Linked DNA regions of Diceros bicornis minor. The protein of the gene in region 1 interacts with the protein of each later gene in a biochemical or structural test. Links are inferred from orthologs where the notes say so. Each region holds a gene or a part of one and is shown in the gene's direction. Other genes may lie near its edges. The genes, in order: MAP3K5 and MAP2K6.

Region 1 (8,233 bases):
CACTTAACCACTAAGCCACGGGGCAGGCCCAAACAGCTTTCTTTCTATGTCTAGTAGGATTTTCTGCAATGATGGAAATGTTCTGTACCTGCATTGTCCAATAAAGTAGCCACTAGCCACATATGGCTATTGAGTACTTGAAATGTGGCTACTGTGACTGAGTATTCAAATTACATCAAATTGATGTAATTTTAATTAATCTAAATTTAAATAGTCATATGTTTTCTTTTCTTACTTTTTACTTAACTTCCACCATTTCCTGGACCCCCTTGTCATTTATACTTAGGCTTAAATATTTGCTAGATTAAGGTGATTCAAAATAAAAATGTATGTGGTAAGTTTGCAGTGAAAAACCCAAGTAAAAATATTTTTTGTCTAAATGTTTTAACAGATTGGATTCCATCCTAACTTTTACAGAAGTCATTCAGTATAACAGTATACTTAATTCAATGAAATCACTTATTTCTGATATTTTAAGTCTGTTATAAGTAATGCATTATTTTAAAATGGTTTATAATAGAATTCAAAGTGAGCTTTTGTGCTAAAAAATTTGGGGATGTCATTCTCCACTTACATGGCTTCTGCAAGAGGAATATTAGGACAGATTTCTATACTCACATGAGGGGGATCATTTTACTCAACTTTAGAATTTATGACAATCTCTTTAAGTGTTGAAGATCCCAGTACTCGTGTAGCTGAACTCCAGGACTCTGTCCATTTTTGAGCATTTATTGAATCACTTAAAGATGGAAAGAATCCCAAGAATAAGATCTCTAGATGATAAAACTGCTTTATCAAATCCTATAGGCATATTGAAGGAATCTTGTTCTTAAACTTATTTAAATTCCATCTCTGGGGTTGGGGAAGGGAGTCTCTATTTGTGTGAAACTCTTCTTGTGAATCTGATCTGCGTCCATGGCTAAGAACCACCCTACAGGAGTTTGCTGAGGTGGGTGGACAGGGAATTTGAAGCTACTAGATATACAAAGGAACCAGGTTCATCTTCCAGGAGCACAGATTTTTCTCAGAGGATTAAGAAATCCAAAACATGATTTTGTATTAAAACAAATTAGCATAAATTATGAAACAAATGGCAAACTTCAAGATAAAACAGAGACATGAAACAAACACCAACAACATTCACCTTGTTGACTTGGGCCTCAGGTTATTCCCCAAGACTTCACTCTCCCTGGCTCCACTGGAAGAGTTTGGAAACATAGCTACCATATACAGCTTCCAGAATAAGAAGTAAGAATGGTCTTTTGACATGATATTTTAATTCCAAATTTGGCAAATAGAGTCTGTCTCAACTTCTCATCACCCTTCTTTTAAACTTTATGCAGCTGTTAGATGAACTGGTGGCATGTCCTCACACCAGAACCAAAACAATATTCTCTGACTCGATGATCTTATCCCTTCATGCTGATAAGGAGCAGCGGATATAGCACAGGCTCTGGATTGGAACCCTGGTCTTGTTACTAACTCCTTGTCTCACGTCGGGTAACCTTTTCCTCTGGGCTCTTCATTTAGAAAGATGGAAGACTTGAGATGTGCACATAAAGCAGTTAGCATGGCAATGGGCACTTACTATTATTTTTTTAACTAGAAATGGCCCTAAGACACATTTGACCATGTTATTACTAGAAAATGAACATAGCATCAGTTACAGTGGTCGTAACTTATTTGTGCAAGAAAATGAGCCACTTGTAGTTTCCCACAGTCTAGAGATTCCACTCATTGCATCTCCAGAGTGTTTTAACCTGTTTTTGGGTCCTCCATATTTCCTGGAATTAGTTGCTGAATCTCAGACTTGGATTCTAGGGCCTTGATGAGATTCCTGCCCCCTGTCTTTGGTGTGACTGCCTCATAATTGTGGTATGTTTTCCCATCAGGAAGCACAGGACACCTGCTTATCTCTTTCTTAATGATGTTAGTGACTGTTGATGATCCATACCTGGATCCAAACTCATTAAAAGTTGCAAAATGGTGAAATTCTAACTACCTCAGACTTTTTATATGTATTAGCTGAAATATTTCTATAAAGAGAAAGTTCCTTCATCTACTATTTGGTTACCCAGTGGTATTTTCATTCTTCACACATTTCAATTCAGTATATACACATTGAATGTATATATCAATACCCATCAATACACATTAGAACTTCAAAGGATTTTCAAATTAATCTAATTGAACACTTTATTTTATGGATGCAGAAACAGGCCCAAAGAGGCTAAATTAGTTTTCTGATTTCTAAAAGCTCACTGGTAGTTATCAGAATCCCAACAGGAAACAGGATCCTTTGAGGTGGGTTTATTTACAAAAAGACTAATTGCAAAGGTGTGGAGGGCGTACAGGGAAGCCTCAAGGGCTTCTGCAGGAACTTGGGGCTAGCGGCTTCAGAGCTGTCATCATTTCTAGGTGCCAAACAACAAGGTGAGGGACAGTTATGAGATCTTGTAAGAAAGTGAGTCCTGCGGGATCTGCCACCTTAGAAGACCAATGACTTTCTGTTGAGGAACAAGCAGCCTGAGGTGACTCAGAGTCACAGTCTCCTTCCTGCTTCAGATCCTCTGCCTGGACTCCCCACTGACCAAACCTAGTTGGTAAACAGAAAGCCAGGGAGCCATTGATTTAATTCATAGAGATTAGGCTCCTGAGGCTGAGACTGGGGTTGGGAATGGAGAGTGGGTCTGGAGGGGAAATTCGGGCACAGATGGCAACGGAGGATTTGGAGTCATATTCTTGTTCCTCTTCCACCATTCTACCATGCATTCAAAGGTTTGCCGACATCCACAGATCTTGTATTTGTAGAAAGAACTGACGGCCCAGGATGATGTTAGCTTCCTCTGGAGTGAATTTTGATTCTCGAATGCCTGGAATTACCTTAATCCAATTTCAGGCTTTGAGACTTTTTCCTGACGTCTGCAGGCAGGGTTGCTGTCCATGTAAGGGTCATTTTACTGCTAGCTCACTCCTACTTCTAGGCTAGCTCATCCTTACTTTTGTCCTTTCCAGGTGTTGTCAGAAATGCAGTCCAGCCTCTCAGATGTCTAATGAGAGCCACAAAAATTGCCAGGCCAGGAGCAGCCCCAACCAAGGCACACCGTCTGGATCCCTGGCCTCTCTTCCGGAAACTGGCCGGGTAGATCGTCCTTATCTCATTAGTTCTTTGATGCCTTTATTTTAAATTTTGTCCAGCATTCTTAGTCTTCTTCAGTGAGAGGGTTGATGAGAATTACCTAATCTGTCATAATCAGAAGCAGAAGTCTCTCCCTTTTATTTCTCCAGCTCTTTTGTTACGAAAATTCTTTGTCCTACCTGCAGGTGTTCTCAAGGTGTCCCAAGGTCCATCTCTAAGTGGACGTGGGAGGGACTCTGAGTGAGAATATAGTCCTGACCAGTAGACTTCAGTTCTGCTGCCATGCCTTTTTAATGTGGGAGCGCCTTAGGAGCAAGAGAAGCAGTCTTTCAGCATTGCATTGGGGTTTGGGTGCCAGTAATCGATAAAATCTTTAAAGTTATTAAATCAATTCAAAGTAAAACAAAGCAAATAAAGTAAAATGAACATAAAGATTGTGTATGGAAAGTGGCTCTGAAAAGACCTGGAAGGGAAGCAAAGGTGAAATGGTCTACAGAGTTACGGTTTTTTAGAAAATAGCTTTATGTATAATCTTAGATCTTATTTGTGTAGTAAAATGCTATTTGAGAATTTAGGCATTTAAGTCTTCTAGACATAGTCCTAATGAATTTCCAGTGTTTATTGTTTTGGGTTAGTATGGGGTGGAGGGTTATCTACTCCCACAGGAGTTGGAGATCTGACAAGTTGTCGGGAATATTAGAAGGTGTGTATCTATAGTAGCCCATCAACATTGTTCAGTGTGATCACTGATCCACTACACATCTACTTTCCTAATGACACCCAGTCCAAAGGCAGCTGTGGATCACGGAGATTCCAGCTGACACGTAGAGGAGCAAGTTACTTACTGTAAATTTACCTCTATCCTTTTACAAGCCTTGAGAAAAAGCTGTCACTTTGCTTTGTGGAGGATACAGTTGTGCAGCTGCGAGGGGTTTTCCACATTACCATTTCCTTCCTTCTTTTAACTCTTCACTACTCAACTGTTTTATCCTCCGTTTCCCCCAAGCTTGAATGTAATTTGCATTCTTCTTCTACCGTTTTCACAGAACTCATTAATCTTGCTTCCTGAGGATGGGAAGTCCAGACCTGGTACTTTATTATATTGCATCTTTCACTGGTTTTCCGAAAGTTATAGCATTCTGGGGAAGTTCTCTGAGAACTTACACATCTGTTTTTGCCCCGCATATAAGTAGATACTTTTTGATCTCTCTTAAGCCATCCAGGCATTTTATTTTTCTTGTGGTGCAATTTAAAAGATAGAATAATTCACTTAATCTCCCTCCTTCCTCTGGCAGATAATGATTTGCCAAGTCCCAGTCTTCCATCTCGGGAAAGCATGTGGCGGTGGAGGGGAGTTTTTAGAACCTAAAGGAGCATGCTAACTCGGTCGGCAGCTGGAGCTAACCGATTCCTCCTTGGTGACAGCACCGCTGTTGGAGACTTCAAAATGGAAAGTACCAGGGGCAGACCTGATCCGCTTCGCCTGCCCTGCCGGGCGCCCCTGTCCCCCCTCAGCCACCCTCCCGCTCCGGCCCCGGCCCGGGCCCGGCGGGCATCCCCCCGGCGCGTCCTCCCGCGCCCCGCGGAGCCGAGCGCACCACCGCGCGTCGCGGGCAGACTTTGGCGCGCTCCGTCGTGCGTGCGCCCGGGCGTTCGCGCTCCACCGCTGAGGTGGCAGCGGCGCGCGTCGGGCCGGCCCGCGCTCCCCGCAGCGCCCCCCACGGGCGGGCCGGCGCGCGGAGCCCGACGAGGGGGCGGTCGGAAGCGGGGCCGGCGCGAGCGGCCGCGGGAGCCGAGCGGGCGAGGCGGCCGGGCGGCGGGAGAGCGCGGCCGGAGGAGGAGGAGGAGGAGGAGGAGGAAGTGGCGCGGGGCGGCGGGGCGGGCCGTCGGGCGGCAGGTAGCTCCCCCGAGGGCGCACGGGCAGGGCCGCCCGCGCTCCCACCGCACCCTCACCCGCGGCGGCGGCGGCCACGGAGGCGCCGAGGAGGGGCGAGCGGCCGCCGGGCGGCGGCGTCCCCGCGGCGGAGAGGGCGCCCGAGAGGCGGCGGCGGCGCGGCGCGGAGGGCGGGACGCGCGATGGCAGCCGCGTAGCCCGGCGCGCGCGGAGCAGCCCCGAGCTGTGGCCGGCCCGGCGGCGCGGCGGCGCGGGGGCCATGAGCGGCGAGGCGGCCGAGGGCCTCACCTTCTCCGTGCCGCCCCTCGCGCCCCCGGGCCTCTGCGCGCTGGCCGAGGGCGGCCGGCGGGGGGCGGCGGCCGAGGGCCAGGACAGCCCGCTCGCGCCGCCGCCGCCGCCGGGCAGCTTCTGGAACGTGGAGGGCGCCGCGCCGGGCCCCGCGTGCGCGAGCGGCGCCCCCCGGAGCCGGGGCAGCGCGGGCGGCGGCCGGCGGACCACGGTGGCCTATGTGATCAACGAGGCGAGCCTGGGGCCGCTGGCGGCGGCGGAGAGCGAGGCCCTGCAGAGCCTGCGGGAGGCGTGCGAGGCGGCGGGCGCCGCCCTGGAGACCCTGCACTTCGGGAAGCTGGACTTCGGGGAGACGGCGGTGCTGGACCGCTTCTACAACGCAGGTGCGTGTGCGCCCCGGGTCGGGGCCGAGCCCCCGGCCGCCGCGGGGGAGACGCTTCTCCGGGCAGCCGGCGTGCTTCCTCCTTCTCACTCTTGCCCCGCTCCCGGCGCTGCCCGCTGCTCCCGGCCCCGCTCCTGGGGAGGGGGGTGCCGGTGCACGGGCCCCGGGGGAGAGGGAGGGGGTGCCGGTGCACGGGCCTCGGGTGCCCTGCGGGACCCGCGACCGCCGCGCGGGGCTCCCCCACAGAACTCTTGTCCTCGGCGCGCGCACATGCCCCGGTCTGTCCTCCGTCCAGTGTGGTGCCTTCCCTTCCTTCAGGGTGGCCCGTGTTTCCTTCTGGACGCGCCTGTGACCGCTTTAGGTCACGTTCTCGTTCTCTCGGGGTAGTTTTGGAAGAACAGACACCGTGACTGATGCCGCGGAGCCGGCTGCACGCGGAGTGTGTCTGTGAATCTGCAGGTCCTGTCATGATCTTCCCAGCTCACTTTACCTTGAGCTCAGTGGCTTGAACTTCCCATCTCTTACCAATTCGAAGTTTCAAGTCGTCACTTCCAAAAGTCACTTACACTAAGGCTGTGTGGTAACTCTATTAAGACTTCGGTGAAAGAACCAGGTCTGTTTTTTATTACCCCATATCCCTTGTTGGGCTGAAAAGTGTTTAATTTAACATTGTTGAAAACGCGAATGTGCTATTGGCCATTAAAGTGATTGCTAGCATAATGTATGAAAAAAGTGTATCTTTTCATCCTATGACAGATTTCAGGGTGTTACTGCAATTCTAGTGACTGAAGCAGTTAGCTCTCTGTTAGCAAATGTAAGGAATAATGATGTGTTATTGAAACTAACCCTTAGCACTCTGTGCAACCAATATTGAGAATATGTGCATATTTATTAAGTGTGGGGGGGAAAATTTGATTTAATGGTGGCTTCAAACAATAAGGTTCTTGCACTTGTGATCACGTAAAAGGTTTTATATTCCAGTCCGGTTTCAGTTCTGATTCTCCTCAGTCTCTCCAGAATACCTGAAGTAGGCTTATGTCAGTTTTGGAATTCAGCCAAAGCTGAATATTTTAAGAACAAGAACTTCTTCATGCTAAGGAAGCCAGACTAAATAAACTAGGACTTTCTGGTTCTGCTGTTTTTTTACAGACTTGGTCTTCATAACTGAACAGGAGTAGAATATATTATGGCTTGGTTCTTTGCGTAGCTTGCTATAAAAATTGCATAAGCATAACTTTTCTAAAAATTACAGCACTCTTTATTTTTGGATTATAACTTGGAAGAAGCTTCAAAGAACTGAAAGATACGTGAGGAAAACACCCAGCTGAGTACTGGGCCTATTTTTATTGCACTGATAGATTGGGTATTTTTTATAGGGTTCTATAGAAAAATCTTAAACGCTGAGCTACTTTGAAAGAAAGTTTCCTAACAAGGCTCACTTAGGGTTTATTCTCCAAGTACTATCTCTGGGAAAGGGAGAGAAAAAGATTAGAAGGGACCAGACATTTGAACTGTATCTCATTTAATTCTCCAAATGAGCCTGTAATGGAAATACTTACTCTCCTTCTAAGGTGAGAAAACCAAGGGATCCACAACCGGCCCTGGGACTCAGAGGTCATAACTAGTCAATACAGGATTCCGCTTCAGGAGCTGACCCTAAAAGGTCATGCTCTGCCCTTGCTGCCTCCCTTCAGCTGGGCTGATTTACTCTCAGAATCAAGGGAAAGTCTCTATCTTGGATCATGTGACGCAGAGCTGGCAGGGACCTTGTGAGCCATGTAGGTGCAGTGTGGAATCGAGGGGAGGACACGCTCCGGGAAGGCCTGTGTTTCTGGGCCAGCTCTGTCCCATCCCATTGCTTTGCTCAGCCGCTCAGGCTCCAGTTGAACCCTGCCTGCGTGAGTGACATGAGCTTGGAGCCCTCTCCTTCTGCGTGAAGATGTGATGAATGAAGATGATATGTTTTGTCCGAACCCCTTATTTTTCTAAACTGACGTCCTCCCAGCTTGAAGGTAGTAGAACTTGTCTTCCTAAAACAGTGCTTGCTCCTACTCCACCGGGGTTGTGCAAATTTTCCTGTGAAGGGCCAGATGGTAAATATTTTAGACTCTTCGTGAGGTCTCTCCACAACTACTCAGTTCGGCCATTGTTACTGGGGAGCAGCCATTAACTGTACCTAAACAGATGATTGTGGCTGTATTCCAATAAAACTTTATTTTTTTTAATTTTTATTTATTTATTTATTTTTGTGAGGAAGATTGGCTCTGAGGTAACATCTGTTGCCAATCTTCCTCTTTTTGCTTGAGGAAGATTGTCGCTGAGCTAACATCTGTGCCAGTCTTCCTCTATTTGGTATGTGGGATGCCACCACAGCATGACTTGATGAGCGGTGAGTAGATCCGCGCCCAAGATCCGAACCAGCGAACCCTGGGCCGCCGAAGTGGAGTGCAGAACTTAACTACTACACCACTGGGCTGGCCCCAGAACTTTATTAATGGACACTGAAGTTTGAATTTCATATAATTCACAA
Region 2 (8,145 bases), on another chromosome or scaffold:
TCACGAGGGTAAACAACCCATACACATAAAACCATTCTGTACCCCTCCAACCATTCTATTTTTCACTTTCAGTACAGTATTCAATAAACTACATGAGATATTCAACACCTTATTATAAAACAGGCTTTGTGTCAGATGATTTTGCCCTACTGTAGGCTAATGTAAGTGCTCTGATCATGTTTAAGATTGGCTGGGCTAAGCTATGATGTTCAGTAGGTTAGGTGTATTACGTGCATTTTCGACTTACCAATATTTTCAACTTATGAAGTGTTTATCAGGACATAACCCCATCGTAAATTGAGGAAGATCTGCAATCCTGTTTTTACCAGATTGCTTAAACAAAGGAAACTTGAGAGAGAAGGCTGAACAGGTATAGTTGTGCCATATTGGGGAGGGCACTAGAAGCTAAGCTGAATCTATTTTGGGATTTCTAAAATTTCTGCCAACAGTCATAATTCATTGTGATATTTTAATGCAGTAAAAAAAAAAAATTTGTACTTAAAAGTATTGTACCACCATAACTCATCATCCGGTCCCCTAAACTAATTCCCCACATGCTCTCCGCAATATGCTTCATTATATATAACATACCTATTTACACTAGAATCTAGAAAAGTAGATATTCAGACTTAACTCTTAGCTTTAACTTTGGTGCCTTCCTTTCCCTTGTTCCTGATATCTTGTAGATACTGCTGGAAAACATTCATAAATGTCACATGCAGGTGAGTATTGCTACCCAGGAGGCAATATTTTACACTGTAATATGAATATGTCTTGTCTTATCTCTTAAGTGATATTGTTATGATGGTCATCAGTTATCTTGCTAATGCAGGGGATGAGGAACACTTCTGATACCTGAACAGAAAGTTACTTAGCCAATGCAAAAAATAGAATGTGTGATCACAACTGTCTTTCTTTCTTCAAATCACTGGTGGTTTTAATCAGACATTTGAGGTGGGTTTAGAGTCACAGGATGTTAGAACTGGAAGGGGCCTGGGGCTGGCCCCGTGGCTTAGCAGTTAAGTGCGCGCGCTCCGCTGCTGGCGGCCCGGGTTCGGATCCCGGGCGCACACCAATGCACCGCTTGTCCCACCATGCTGAGGCCGCGTCCCACATACAGCAACTAGAAGGATGTGCAACTATGACATACAACTATCTACTGGGGCTTTGGGGGAAAAAATAGGAGGAAGATTGGCAATAGATGTTAGCTCAGAGTCGGTCTTCCTCAGCAAAAAGAGGAGGATTAGCATGGATGTTAGCTCAGGGCTGATCTTCCTCACAAAAAAAAAAAAAAAAAAAAAGAACTGGAAGGGCCTTAGTCTGACCCATCTTATTTTAGTGGAACAAAAAGAGGTCCAGAAAGGCGAAGTGACTTGCCTTAGGAAACACAGCTAACGTTTTCTAGTCAGGACTAGAGCTCACATCCCCTAGATTCTAGTGTTTTTTCCACATCAAAAGTTAATGTCTTACCAAATCTCATTTGCTTTAAATTAACTTAAAAAATAGAGTGTCAGTAAATTCTCATGGTATCCTATGCAGCAAGGTTTCTCAAACTCAGCACTACTCACATTTGGACCAGATAATTCTTTGTTGTGGGAGGCTTCCTGTGCACTGTAGTAAGATTACAAGCATCCCTGACCTCTACCCACTAGATGCCAGTATCACCACCTCCACCCTCCTGGTTGTGACAACCAAAAATGTCTCTAGACATTGCCAAAGGTTCCCTGGGGGTCAAAATTACCCCTGGTTGAGACACCCTACTCCCACCACCATCTCCTCCATCCCACATATACTTCTAGAATAATTCCTTCAGAGCCAGCCTGACCTAACCTAGGGGCTCTTTCCAAGAATCTCATACCTTTAACCTGACAGCACAGGACTTTCCCCAGGTGTTCTAGTTTCCCCTGCAGGTGTTAACTCCATCATTGGAATCTAGTTATTCCAGGGTAGCCACGGTCACAAGTCCTCTCCCTATCTACTCCTTCAGTTTTTCAGCATTCATTTGAGTGCCTGTTAAACGCTAGATGGTCGGCACTGGGAATGCAGAGATGAATCTCTGATCTCCAGTAGTTCAGTCTCCTGGGGGAGACAAATATGTAAATAAACATCTGTCAGCCTTATGATGAGTGTTAGGAGGGAAGTATGTGTAGGGTGCTACAGAATTAGGGAAAACACTTCATTCACACTGAGGGTGGTCATAGGGTGATATGTCACAGAAAGTAGCTGGAAGAAAGTGCCAGCTAAGCCAAGTCTTCAAGGACAATTCTGAATGAGCTAGGCAGAGAATGGAAAATGCTTGCCAGCCAGAGAGAGCAATGTATCCAAAAGCAACTAGGGAGAAAACTCGGCTTCTGGCTGTAGCATCAACATAGGATGAGAAATGAAACTGGAGAGTAAGCAGGGGCCGGGTCTTGAGGGGCCAATTATACCATGCCAAGGAGTTTGGAATCGATCTTGAAGGTAAGTAGAAGAAACTTGCATTTTAGAAAGATCTAAAGTACAGAAAATTACAAAGATGGCAGATTCGAAGTAGGAGCACAGGCCACCTCAAGATAAACATCTGATGTACCGTCTAATAAAAGAACAATCATCCAGATTTTGCTCTCACTTCCTTACACCACCAGGGGAGGAATTCTCCTCCTAAGAACATTGCCACAGATTGGCAAGAAGAGGAAAGGACCATGATTGTACAGAGGTACAGCCTCTTCCTCCATCCAGGACCGTGGGCAGAGGAAACCTTTTTACCACCAAGGCAAGAAGGACTTTTTTTTCTGGACTCTAAGACTTCACAGAGAGGTTGAGTTTCCTGTGGAAATTCAAAATATATTTTTCCCAGAAAGAAAAATGATAAATTTTGATATTTTTAACTATACGGTTCAGCCAATTTATGGGTCAAAGGTGTTTTGCATACGTGTGTGTGAGTGTGTATGTGCACTGGCTGTTGAACACATCATTGTTCCTATGGGAATATGAATTACAGATTGACTTTCAGAACATAATCCATTTGCCAGCTGGGAACTGTGCATGCCTATGCAGAGAATGTACAAGCACAAACGACAGAAGCAAAATGCACCAGACAAGTGATTAGAACTCTTCCATAAAGAAGGGAGTCTGGGGCAATTTAAGAGCAATGCTGCTGACCACATAAAATGCAAATCGAAGTAAGCTCTAGGTGGCTGTGCAGGCCCTGCCTGGGCTCAGCGAGTCTATGTGCAGCTCCAGAAGCTATCCCAGGGCCTGGCCTGTATCAGGTGCTCCACCAAGGTCTGGAAAAGTAGATGAGATGCACTGAAATGGAGCTCCACGCCCTCATGCCTCCTGGTTAAATGAGACTTAGAAAAACAATGCTGGTTCAATGAGGTACTGAGATCCTGTGTGTGAGAGAACGAGGAAGGGACAGCACGGATTCTCCTAGAAGGACAGTGAAAGAAAGTGAGCTACTAAGTCTCTGTACCTATGCTCATGGGACGGAAACCCCTGCCTCTTAGGGGCAGAAACTAATATGAACATGAGGTGACCTTGACAAATTCTCAATAATGTCAGCAGACGGGATCAACTTAAGTAAATTAATGTTAGTTCCATGACCTGCTGCATATTTGTTTTAAGAGCTGATTTGTAGCTGAAACATGGTGGCCTTCTTCCCTCTGATTCATCCATTACTCAGAAGGCCCTGGCTTCCTAGAATTCTTAATAAAATTCCAAGAGTTTTCATAAGCAGTCATCAAATCTAGCCAAATCTTTCAAAATGCCTTTTTCTGCTTTTCACAACTGACCTGACCTATCTCTAGCCTCTCCCAGTTTCAACCCCCTTAATGGCTGAGGGCAAATTTACCTTCTTAAAACAATGCTTTGATTAAGTTACACCCCTTTTTAAAACCCTTTCACCACCTCTCAAGGATCTGTGGAATAAAGTCCAAACCTCTAGCCTGCCTTTTAAAGCCCTGTAGAGTCCTCACCTCTAAATTCCACCCACCCTCACCACTTCTGTATACAAGGCAACGTGGTATCCTTAAGTGTCCCCTGACTAGGCTCTCCTCAGTCTTCCACTGTGCTTGGTTCACGCCTCAGCAGCCTGAAATCCTCAGTTCTTCCCTCTCTACCTGAAAAGCACATTTTGAGTCTGGTCTACTCAGTGAAGTAGAAATCTGAGCTCATTTCAGCCCATGCCCCCTCACTCCTTTCCATTTCTTGCATGGAATTATTCTGTGCATCTCCAGCTTCCTCGTGAAGGGGGTGACCAGGGTGCTGTCCATCCCTAAGCCATGAGCAATGCATGACAAATGGATGACCCAAAGCCCTAGAGACATTCCTGGCACATCCTAGGAGCTCAACAGATGTCTGTTAACTTTGTTGAATAATTCCAGATATTTGACTTTGTTAATTTAAGATTACCACTCACTTGCTCCCTTAGGCCAGGGATTTTCCTCACCTTAGGTGAGAAAAAGCATCTAAATATTTTAACTTTGATAAAGTTAGCTTTGACATATAAAAAGCAGAACTTCCTCTCTAACATTTCAAGAAATAAGAACTCCTCCTCCCCCCAGTATTGAATTTCAGGTTCCTTGAAAATAATCGACCTGGATCCTATCTTACTAAATCAAACTTTGCATCTTCTCTGCAGTGCAAAGGTAATCTTACCTCTGGCCAGCCAAATCACCAACAAATTCTCCATGCCAAAAAAATGTTTTTGAAAATGGAGGTGTGAGGGTAAACGTCTATAGGCAGGAACAGTACAACAGGTGCTGCCCTGCAAACAGGAAACACCCAAACAGACCTTCTGAGCGAGCCAAATGCCTTTTCGCTAACCTAATGTTCTTTAGCTTTAGTTGCTTCAAGGGCTTTTCGATAACAAAAATGCCCCTTCCTGTTGGCCTTGCCGTTTTTCGCCCATCACTTACTACCGAGTGCGAGTCTGACTTCTTTATCTGGGCGCAATCTTTGCCACACCCAGTCATCTCGCTCAGCGACCCGCGCGACCACGTTTCCTTAAATCTGAGCCCCGTGGACTCTGCTCCGGAACTACATTACCCAGCACCCCCCGCGCCCTTCGCAGGAAGGACGTCTGCGCACTAAGATACTCAGTTCCAAGTTTGGAGCTTTTAGCTGCCAGCCCTGGCCCATCATGTAGCTGCAGCACAGCCTTCCCTAACGTTGCAACTGGGGGAAAAATCACTTTCCAGTCTGTTTTGCAAGGTGTGCATTTCCATCTTGATTCCCTGAAAGTCCATCTGCTGCATCGGTCAAGCGAAACTCCACTTGCATGAAGATTGCACGCCTGCAGCTTGCATCTTTGTTGCAAAACTAGCTACAGAAGAGAAGCAAGGCAAAGTCTTTTGTGCTCCCCTCCCCCATCAAAGGAAAGGGGAAAATGTCTCAGTCGAAAGGTAAGAGTCTATTTGCATTACTTGCAAAAATGCAAAGGGTTGTGCATGCATTTATGAATGCATGGATGCAATTTTCGCCTGGCGATTGCATTTTTAAGTTTGAGGTTTTCCACAGCTCAGTTGCATTTCCTGTTTAGTATGTGTCTTTTTTTGCAGACACAGAGAGTTCCTGTAAGGCAGGGCTTGCAGTTCAGCTGTGCATTGACGTTATTTGCATTCTTCTGCTAGGATTACTGAGCTCTTTTTGCCTTTTGCACAGTCAGGAGAGATAGAGCAGGTTGGTAGCGTCTAAAAGTGCAATGCTTTATATAATTGTAAAATTCTTTAGTATGCACACATATTACAAGTAATTTTATGTGCAACAGGAATACAAACTTTTAAAAAGTCTGTAGGTGAAGATGAAAGGTAAAACTTGAGTTAAACTAGTAGGAAATGAATGTAATCTTATATTCCTTTGGGAATGAACCGTTGTGGTACCAGTAGTTAGCTAAATTTCCATTGATATCGCTTTGAACATTAAGCAACTTTTGATTTTTAAAGGAAGTAAAGGTGAAGTGTGAATAATACCACATTACAAAAACGTAGACAAGAAGACTTTCTCTTCCGAGATTTTGCACTTTACACCAATTGCTTATTGGTTCGCAGTATTCAGAAGCAGCAATGAGGACGTAGATGTTTTATGTCTTCCCATTTGGGAGATGCTTTGCATCTTAGGGGAAAAAAATGTTGGGGGAAAAACTGTACTTTTAAGCATTACACCAACGTGGGGAGACTGTACTGTTTCACTGACAATGACAACCATAATGAAATCTTTTAAGTGTGTAATTGCATATATTTAGTCAGCTATAATAGGTCAGAAGTTCAGGGTTATGGTTGTTTCCTTTATGTTTTTTTCTTTTTCTTAAAAAAAATTTTTTTTACACAGTTGTATTTTGCAGACAATGTCATGCTGGGGGGAATTAAAAAAATAAAATTTATGACATGGCATCAAGAGAACTGAGGGGGTGTTGTCAGGTGTCTCTAGGACCCTAAGTCTCTTGTTTCAAAACGAGTCTTTCTTTACCATAGAGAAAGCATGTGCCATCTGAGAATGTATGGAATGAAGAGGTGAGTTAGGCACTAGGTGAGTTAGGCTACCTGAGGCACAACATAGGTGAGTAAGACCTGGTGAAATGAAAGTGTCTCATAAGCTTTCTGCCACTTTTTTTGGAGTTGTTGCAATTCTGCCTGATGGGAATCATGCATCTCAGCCCAAGAGGAAGTGATATATATTCTTAAGAGTTCAAAGTAGGGCTCTGCTTTTCTTTTAGTCTTAGTGAGGAATGGACATCTGAAAAGCTAAGAAAGCTGAAGAACCTATGAATTGGCATTATGAGGTGCAGGTGTTCCTTAATAGAGGGGAAACCTACAATCTTCTAATTGAGCAGAGAAATAACAGTTTAGAAGGGGCATACCATGCTTTGATGTATTAAAGAGATGACATCTAGTTACTTTGTATTTGGTATATATTCACTCATTCATTCAGTTTGGTTTAATATATGTATAAATATATTATGATATATATGTGTATGTGTGTATGTATGTGTACGTATACATGTAGAGAGATATAGTGCACAGGATTTGGGGGCGTACAAAAATATTTAAAATGTAGTTGCTTCCTTTAAGTAACTTACCATGTGATTGGTGAAAGAAAGCATATCTGCAAATCATTATAATACAAGATAATTGCCTAGATAGTGAAGAGAAATGGCACTGTTGGAGTTTAGAGATGGAAGTGATCTCTCTGAGAGATAGTCAGGAAGGTTTCATGAAGAAGGTGATGTTATAGTGATCTTATCTTTGGACCGTAGTGTCTAAACTAAATCAGGTTCCTTTTTGCATTTTTTGAGCTCACTCCTAAAGTAGCCCCCTCCTAGTAGAGCAAGTTTTTGAGTTGGGAAGCTAAAAGAGATGTTAGCATGACACTCTTCCATTATGGGTGTGCCCATAATAGATCAGGTACTGATGGTTCTTGAAATCAATTCCCATTCATCCAAAAAGTTTTCTTAATTGGGTTGTGTTTGGAAGGTGCAACTAGTGTGAACATGGGGTTTCTGTCCAAAAGAAAAATTATTGGTAGAAAGAAGTGGGTGATCATTTCAGAAATGGCAAAGGAGACTTGGCCTGGACTTTAAATGTGGAATTGGCCTAATTCAGCTATGGTATTCTCAAATGGCCAAGACATTTTTTGCAGTACCAGACTTCTTTGTAATACTATAACCAAATGAAATGGGGGGAAAAGTGAAAGGTGGATGCAACCTCATAGTGTTGAAGATTTTAACAACATGTTCAATTCAAGGACCTTTACGAACTTTCTAGATCACTATAATTCGGTTTTAGAGACCTCTAATTTAAGGCACAGCAGAGGCAAAAGAATTACAGACTCCCTGGGAGCTGGAAGGACTGGGTTACTTCTTTCCAGCCTTACCGACAGTGAGATTCCGAGAAAGAATTTCTTAAAAAGAAATTTTGTTTTCCACAGTTGTAACTTTAGGTGGTATGCCTTTCAGTTTGTTTATATTAGCTGTCTGGGGTTGAGCTGACATTTTTCAAATATTAAAGTGGCAGAATGCCTTTTGAGGAAATCTGAAATGTAAGTTAACAGGAAGGGCACCCAGAAAGTGCAGGAATTCCTGCACTTTACAGGAAGACAGGCTACAGGAAAAATGTGTCATCTACATTGCCCCGGAGAGAAAAACTATTGTTATCAGCCATAATGATC

What was found.
Region 2: of the proteins of MAP3K5 (region 1) and MAP2K6, one has a biochemical effect on the other in vitro, tested with the Homo sapiens proteins (8 studies listed by BioGRID, with this or other methods). The link is inferred for Diceros bicornis minor from reciprocal best matches to the Homo sapiens genes MAP3K5 and MAP2K6.

What each region holds. Positions count from the first base shown.
Region 1 is NC_080762.1:1,825,226-1,833,458, forward strand, and holds the start of MAP3K5 (mitogen-activated protein kinase kinase kinase 5), read left to right. Parts: upstream 1-5,050; 5' UTR 5,051-5,292; coding exon 5,293-5,704; intron 5,705-8,233. UniProt on the Homo sapiens protein: Serine/threonine kinase which acts as an essential component of the MAP kinase signal transduction pathway. Plays an important role in the cascades of cellular responses evoked by changes in the environment.
Region 2 is NC_080757.1:50,792,781-50,800,925, forward strand, and holds the start of MAP2K6 (dual specificity mitogen-activated protein kinase kinase 6), read left to right. Parts: upstream 1-5,119; 5' UTR 5,120-5,368; coding exon 5,369-5,384; intron 5,385-8,145. UniProt on the Homo sapiens protein: Dual specificity protein kinase which acts as an essential component of the MAP kinase signal transduction pathway.